Linked DNA regions of Arabidopsis thaliana. The protein of the gene in region 2 purifies or fractionates together with the protein of the main gene of each other region. This does not show direct contact. Each region holds a gene or a part of one and is shown on either strand. Other genes may lie near its edges.

Region 1 (3,741 bases), on a different chromosome or scaffold from region 2:
GAGGTTGTCCACGGAGAAAACAAGTTCCTTCCATTCTTAGTTAGTCTTCTTCTTCTTCACTAGCTAGTGTATGCACATTAACTTTGAAAATTTTCTATCACGAAAACACTACTACAAGTTCACGATCAGACAAAGGAATCTCAGAGGAAAGAGGAAATATACAAATTTTATTATCTTTATGGATACAATTGAGACTCAGCAAGAGTTCTACTGCGTCTGCCACTGCATCTTGATATGATGGGACCCACATAACATTACAAGAGACCAATCAATGTTTGATTGGAGTATGCTGACATGGCAAGGCTAATTCGGTTTGGTTTGTTCCAAAACTTGGATCCAAACCAGAATCATTTCATAGGACACATTAGAATTTGAATACTTTTGGCGCTGGATTCTTATATGCATTGTTACATATTGGCGTTTACTTTCTCCAAATGCTTATATCCAATTAGATGAGTAAGTTTGGTCTTCTTAACATCACTTATGAATAGATTTTGACCAACACAATCTCTGTAAACTTGTTGGTCTTTTTGAATTAGCTTTTTTTCGCTAGAGTGAAAATTATTCATCAAACTTTCAATAGATAATCTGTAACTTCGGATTCATCAATTATACAAGTAATCAGGAGATCGAAATCTGATCAATATCATCTACTAAAGCACTACACTACAGCTTGATGGATTATGTTCGAAGTTACCACATTCTCTGTTTCTGATGGTGCTACGTCTGCGACCCACATTGTTCGACCCTGGGGTGAGTTTGCGCCAGAACTGCAAAACTGCAGCAAGAGGAACAGTCAGAGTTTTAAAGCCTAACCAACCAAAAAGGTAAGAAAAATAGATTACGGTAGATGCACATCAAGATGCCTAACTAGCTATAAATCGTAGTGGGTATGACACAGAAAATGTAGGGAGCACAAAATGGATTCCAAGAACTTAAGAATGGAACATCAAGATGCCTAACAAGCTATATTGCCACACAATAGCCTCTCATACCTTTAGAAACAGTATCAAAACTCAAATGTCAAACAGCAAAGTTCAATTCTCATGCAGTTCCACTAAAGGTATCAAAGGACAATACACTGAAACAAAATATTCTGATACAAAAAATTAGAGAGCAATAACTAAATCACCTTAGGAAGACGAAACAGGGGGCTGCTCAGCAATGGAGGTTGAGGAATTGAGAGCCGCAGCAGCAGCTTGTGGAGAATAAATGCGTGCTTTCTTTATGATTTCTGAAACAATCCAATGCTTATGCTTGCTCAAAGGCCTTGAAGGATCCAATTTCACCTAATATTTCAAACAACCAAATCAAGTTTCATTTCCAAAGCAGCCTAATAACAAACAGGCAAGTCTACTTCCAATGGTTGAGTTCAAATATTCCTAGAGCTTCCCTAAATTTTCGAGCTCTTGATCAAATGTATATCAAATTCAAAAAATGAAGGGGAAAATACTCGATCGCCGATGTTACAGGAGTCCTTTTCATCGTGAGCCATGAACTTGGAAGTACGCTTGACATATCGATTGTAGATATTATTGTGGAAGAGTCTGTCGACGGCTACCACCACCGACATCTGCATTTTGTTCGACACCACTGTCCCTATCACTGCCTTCATTTTTCCTAACGAGCTCTCTCTGGATTTTGAGAATCTAAAGAGCAAAGAGAAAAAGATTCTTCTGGTCTAGGGGTTTTATAATGATGGGCTTTGTTATCTCAGCCCAATTTATATTAAGGTCCATGAAGTATAGTAGTTAACAGAACCGGCCTCATACTAAACCGCTTCAAAAGCTAATTTCTGGTTTATTTAACAGATATAAATAAAATCGAACCGGGATGAGAAGTAAGAAGTGAAGAATCATCGATATGGCTGTTATTGCTTCACTTCATCATCTTCAACCTCTCTCGTCTTTCTCGTCTCCTCCTTCTCCTTCAAGCTCTAAGCCTCTCTATCTAAAATTCCAAACCTCACACCGTGAAAATCTAAGACACCTTTCTTCTCTCGGAATTGTTCCTCAGAATCCCCGACTTGCTCCTCCGGCGAATGATCTTTCCGTTATCCTCTCCGCCGTGAATCTCCTCAAATCGAAAGGAATCTCCGACGAAGATTTCCCACGCCTCGTTTTCCTCTGTCCACAGCTCTTCTCGCCCACTTTCGACATCTCTAAACTCGATCCCGTCTTCGATTTTCTCACCGGCGAGCTTGGAGCTTCCGCAGAAGAATCCAGGGGCTTAATCGTAAATTGCCCGAACATCCTCTTCTCCGACGTTGAGTATTGCTTGAGACCGACGCTTGTTTACCTTAAGGAGCTAGGGGTACGGAATCTGAACCGAGCCAGCAAGACGAACGCGCACGTGCTGAACACGAGAGTTGAGAAGCTAAGAGCAAAGATGAGATTCTTGAAGAGTATAGGTTTCGAACACGAGGAAGCAGCTAGAGTCTGTGGGAGAATCCCGGCGATATTCGGATACAGTGTTGAAGATAACTTGAGGCCCAAGTTCGAGTTTCTCGTTTACGACATGGAAAGAGAACTTGAAGAGCTCAAGAAGTTTCCGCAGTATTTTGCGTTTAGCTTGGGGAAGAGGATAAGGCCAAGACATTGGCATTTGAAGAAGAAGAACGTTAGGGTTTCGCTTAGTAGAATGTTAATGTGGGGTGATCAAAAATTCTACTCAAAATGGAAGCCATAAGCCATAATCTTTTAAGTTTTAACATATGTTAGTATTCAGAAATCTGAAAACAAAAAAGTTGAATTGCATTTCAAGGAAAAGTGATTTTGAATCATATGAAAATTCTTGAGGGAATCATTGAAAATTCAAATCCCGGGTTCGATCACAGACTCTCTTTTAAGGTTACTGACGAATTACAAGATCGATATCGGCCCCAACTTCTGCAATCTTGGCTTCCTTTGACGCCTTCGCTGATTTTGCGATGCTCTCTACATCAAAATCTATCGCTATCTTCTTCACGAGACCTTCAAGCATCTGTTGTTACAAACACACACCGATTAAATTATGTAATTAACAACAAGTGGATTACGTTACTCTAGTTGTTGCGGAAACTAACCAGTGAGCCAATTGCTACCAGACTCCGGAACTTGGAATCAACATCTGCAGCTTCTTCTTCTGCTACCTGTAGTAATAAGTTAAATATTTTTAGCACCAAAAAAATGATAATAAACTATTTGGTACATTGGTCTTCTCCGATTTTACTTTGATCTCAGAGATTTGTGCAAGTGACAGAGACAAAATAAAAACAGATGAGATTCAACTCGGTGACGATGAATAGGATTTGGATGTATGCAACAGTGGTTAAAAATAACCAAATTTAGGCGTACCTGCAAAGCTGCTGAAAGGACTTGAGCTTGACCTTCTTGATCCTTCTTTTCTATTAATAGCACTGCATAACTGAGGAAGAACAAAAGCATAGATTACGGTTTGATCTTTCTCCACAGAGAGTTTAATAATAGAATAAAGCTACAATTTGGCAAAAATCCAACTAGAAGAAAGTAATATAAGAGAGATCTTACTTGAGAAGCAACGTCGAATAAGCCAACTGCAGATTCTTATTTGGGGATGAATAACAGTTTGAGAAGGCATCAAGAATCTGCATTGATCCACAGCAATTAAAACCACTTCTCAAATTATTATAATAAACACACACATGTATAGGCACTATCTTATGTTTAAATGTAATTAGAAACTTAATTTATATGCCCAGACGCAAAAAAGCAATGTATATTA
Region 2 (3,754 bases):
GTATTATGCGAACATGTTTTAGATTTCATAAGAATGTTTTTGACTTTTGACTTTTTATATGGGCTATTAACTGTTTGAGCATTCCATTTGCCTCTACTCCTTTTACTTTACCGGTCGACATCACACCTCTTCCCTAAAATGTTTGTCATAATGGAGCTATATGAAACCGGGAATTTTGTTTATCTATAACCGGTTATATCGATTTGGAAAGGATGCAGTCCAGAGCTTTTCAAGTATTATGTAACCATACATTGTGCTCAAACCATCGTGAGAGAAGAATTTGTGGAACAAACATGAAGGCGACGGTAAAGTCTTACAGCCATGGCAGTCAGAGGTCTGTTGGGTACAGGACCATTTGATGTTGTCTAACACGTATGAGAGAATTTCAGATTTGATTAACATCTACTTCCGAATAAAAAATTTGATTTGTTGAATCCAAACAGAGACTAGAGGGAAACAAAACAGCAGCTGTAATTGAAATGAGTGTTGATATTCTAAGATACCATCATCTTTTACTCGAGAGATCATATAATCTAAAAGAAGAAACGAAGACACGTTTAGATTGTCGAGTTTGCTATGAAGCTGTGTTCAACTTAGTCGATTTTGCAGCTGCGGCTTTTGTGTAGATAGGGTGAAGAACATGACCACCTATTGGATCAACATGAATCCATTTGCGTCCTGTAATCTTGCTTTTCTCGAACCTGACTCGTCCTTCCTTCAATGCAAACAGAGTATGGTCCTTACCAATCCCGACATAGTCTCCAGGATGAAACCGAGTTCCACGTTGACGAACTATGATGTTTCCAGGTATCACACTCTGCAAAATCACACACACACAGACTAAGATTGATTTGATCATCTCAAATGTTATCTAGGTAGGTCAATGTTTGGTTTCTTACCTCTCCTCCGAATTTCTTAACACCAAGAAACTTGGGATTAGAGTCACGACCGTTCTTTGTAGAACCAGCGGTTTTCTTAGTAGCCCAACGCTTCAAGACCAAACTCAACCCACTTGAAGAACCATCTTTAACATCCCAAGAACAAGAATTACACAAATGAGTTAACCAGATCAAAATATAGACAAGAGATTTTGAAAACATATACCGGAAATGCTGCTGCCAGTATAAGCAGGAACCTCAGTGATGAGTTCCCTCAGACTAACTCTTCTGCAAATGGATGCAGCTGAGTTTAAGAAATTCATTTTCTGCAAGCAACAGAGATCAATTCAAACATTAAGCATTCAAGTAGAATTAATACTCTATACAAACTCAATTCAGTGGAACGCAACGAATAAACGAATTGAAAGCAGATCCACACGAAATCGAATCCTAAAGCACTCTAAATAGAGAAATTTCCCAGAGAAGGAGCACAAAGGAGTTATAGAGAAGAAGCTATACAACACAGTCACATAAGAGATGATAAACTCTGGAGATAAAGAAACAAACTTGATTTGAAAATCAAGCACGCTTATAAGAATCTGACCGAAAGACGATCACCGGAGAGCGAGTTTTGGTTTTTGGATGGGATCGTCGGCTGCGAGAGAAGGAGAGAGGTCTCCGGGAGATTTTTCAAGTGAGAGAGAAAGAAAAAGCGTTTGGAGAAAAGAGAGCCGAACCGAACCAAACCAAACCATTCGGTTGTATTTTTTCTCAACCCAAATAGGTAGGTTCGGTTCGGTTTTCGATAACCCAATATATTTAATTAATTAATTAATTAATTATATTAATAATATTGTAAATAATGTAAATATACTAGATTTTAACCCGCGGTATACCGCGGAAACAATTTATTTTTTAATGTTAGTATATAAAAGTTTACAAATTGTATCTAACTATAAAATATTTTTATTTTATAGTTTACAATTATTATTAAGTAACGTCCTATTAAACTCGTTCCGTCAACCCGTCCCGTAAAACAAAACCATTTATTTTATTAATGTTGATCTTATTTATGATATGTTTATGAATTATTGTCTAAATATTTTGTAATTTTGTAGTAATTAAATGCTATCAAATTATATTTCTGCTTTGATTATTATAACTCAATTGTTATAGTCATGGAGAAAAGCAATATCAAAAATGATAATTTTGTAGTAATTAAATGATATTAAATGTTGGAAGTTTTATTTTAGAAAATAATCGTGTAGTTAATGTGGAGAGATTTTGGAAAGATTGTTAAATGTCAAATATTTAATTCGAAGATTTTCTTTCTAATTATCAAAAACAAACATCAAAATCCAGTGGCAGCCATTGTAAATAAGTCCAACTACATGATTTATTTCACAAAATGGCTGCAAAAATGTATATATAGATTTATGGTATATATAAATTATTCAATTTAAAATTCTGATTTGAATTTTTTGTTTAATTTAATATATTATCAAATTCAAAGTTGAGCCATACATTTTGCTCGAACCATTTGATGTGGTCAAAACGAGGTTGATGGCTCAAACCAACCTGAGACTGTGAAAGTGGGGTGAGATATAAAGGGATGGGTGATGCCATTAGAAGGATTTATGCAGAGGAAGGATTATTGGCCTTATGGAGAGGATTGTTTCCAATGCTAATGAGGATTCCACCAGGACAAGCCATTATGTGGGCTGTTGCCTGTTGCTGATCAAGTCACTAGTTTTTATGAGATGAGATTACTCCAAAATACTCCTCTATAGAGATTCTTTTTTTTTTTAAAAGAATCAGTGTTTCTTGTTGGTTTATTTCTGAAAATCTTGTTTGGATTTGGATTTGATCTTTAAGAAAAATAAAACGAGGCTACAGTTTTTTATTTATTTTTAAAATCAAATTTTGGAGTTAATTTGGTAATAAAATATGTTTACCACAAAAATCACTACCCCAAAATTGCTAACAGCGTCAGGTAATTAAACGCGAAATTGCCACGTCCATATTAGTTTGGGCTGGGATTATTTTATTTTGGGCCACGTTTGGAACACAGGCCCACATTTTTCAACCGCAGATGCCAATTGTTATATGTTTATGCTTTTAACCAGCTTCTTGTATTTTTAATTCTCGATATTGTGCGTGATTGATAAGACTCAATATCTGTTAGATTTCATAAGAATGTAGTAACATTTTTTAATTATTTAGCCTAGAAATCAAGAGAAAGTTAACTATCTTTGTCACATTCGTAGTTGAACAGAAGAGTGCTATCAATCAATGTTTTCAATTATTCGAAATTGATTACAAAATATTTTAACGAATATAATTCTTATTACCTTATGCAATTTTGGTTTTTATAATAATCAGATAGATACAAAAAAAAAAAAAGAACCTGAATCCGGCGACTTGGTAAGCAGATCCAACGGCTGAGATTCGGTGAGTGGCCTGGTGGGATGTCATAAAAAAAAAGAAACAATTAGAGACAATAATGACGACTATACCCTTGACGCCGCTGAGCTCCTCCTCCTTCCTCTTGCCTTGTTCAATCTTTCTCCTCGATTCTTCTTCTTCTTCTGATAAAGAAAAAGCAATTCATAGACGATCAAAAAACGTAATCGATTGAAATCTTCCTCCGATCACCACTTCTTCTCCAAGGTTCCAATTCGGTACTCACAAATCTGTTCGTTGCCAGCTCAATGTCATTATATATTCGCGTAGAATCTCTGTAATAGTTTTTGATGATCTTGTTAGTTTTTTCCTTCGATGATGAATTAATCGGAATGTAATGTTCTATTGGCATGGAATGTCTTCGCTTTGAGAATTGTTTCTTTATTAATCTGTGTTAGCTTGGAGGATGTTGT

Evidence for each region. The genes of interacting proteins can lie anywhere in the genome.
Region 1: the proteins of AT2G16930 (region 2) and AT3G18880 fractionate together in Arabidopsis thaliana (co-fractionation; one large-scale study listed by BioGRID). This does not show direct contact.

Annotation. Positions count from the first base shown.
Region 1 is NC_003074.8:6,507,462-6,511,202, reverse strand, and holds AT3G18880 (Nucleic acid-binding, OB-fold-like protein), read right to left. Parts: upstream 1,704-3,741; 5' UTR 1,616-1,703; coding exon 1,454-1,615; intron 1,290-1,453; coding exon 1,134-1,289; 3' UTR 1,133-1,133; exon of another isoform or gene 958-1,132; intron 779-957; 3' UTR 501-778; downstream 1-500. Other genes in the region: Tic62 (NAD(P)-binding Rossmann-fold superfamily protein), read right to left, coding at 1-34; AT3G18870 (Mitochondrial transcription termination factor family protein), read left to right, coding at 1,864-2,688; AT3G18860 (transducin family protein / WD-40 repeat family protein), read right to left, coding at 2,851-2,982, 3,065-3,130, 3,336-3,405, 3,528-3,604.
Region 2 is NC_003071.7:7,338,939-7,342,692, reverse strand, and holds AT2G16930 (Ribosomal protein L27 family protein), read right to left. Parts: upstream 1,616-3,754; 5' UTR 1,483-1,615; exon of another isoform or gene 1,205-1,482; 5' UTR 1,202-1,204; coding exon 1,105-1,201; intron 1,025-1,104; coding exon 900-1,024; intron 818-899; coding exon 575-817; 3' UTR 376-574; downstream 1-375.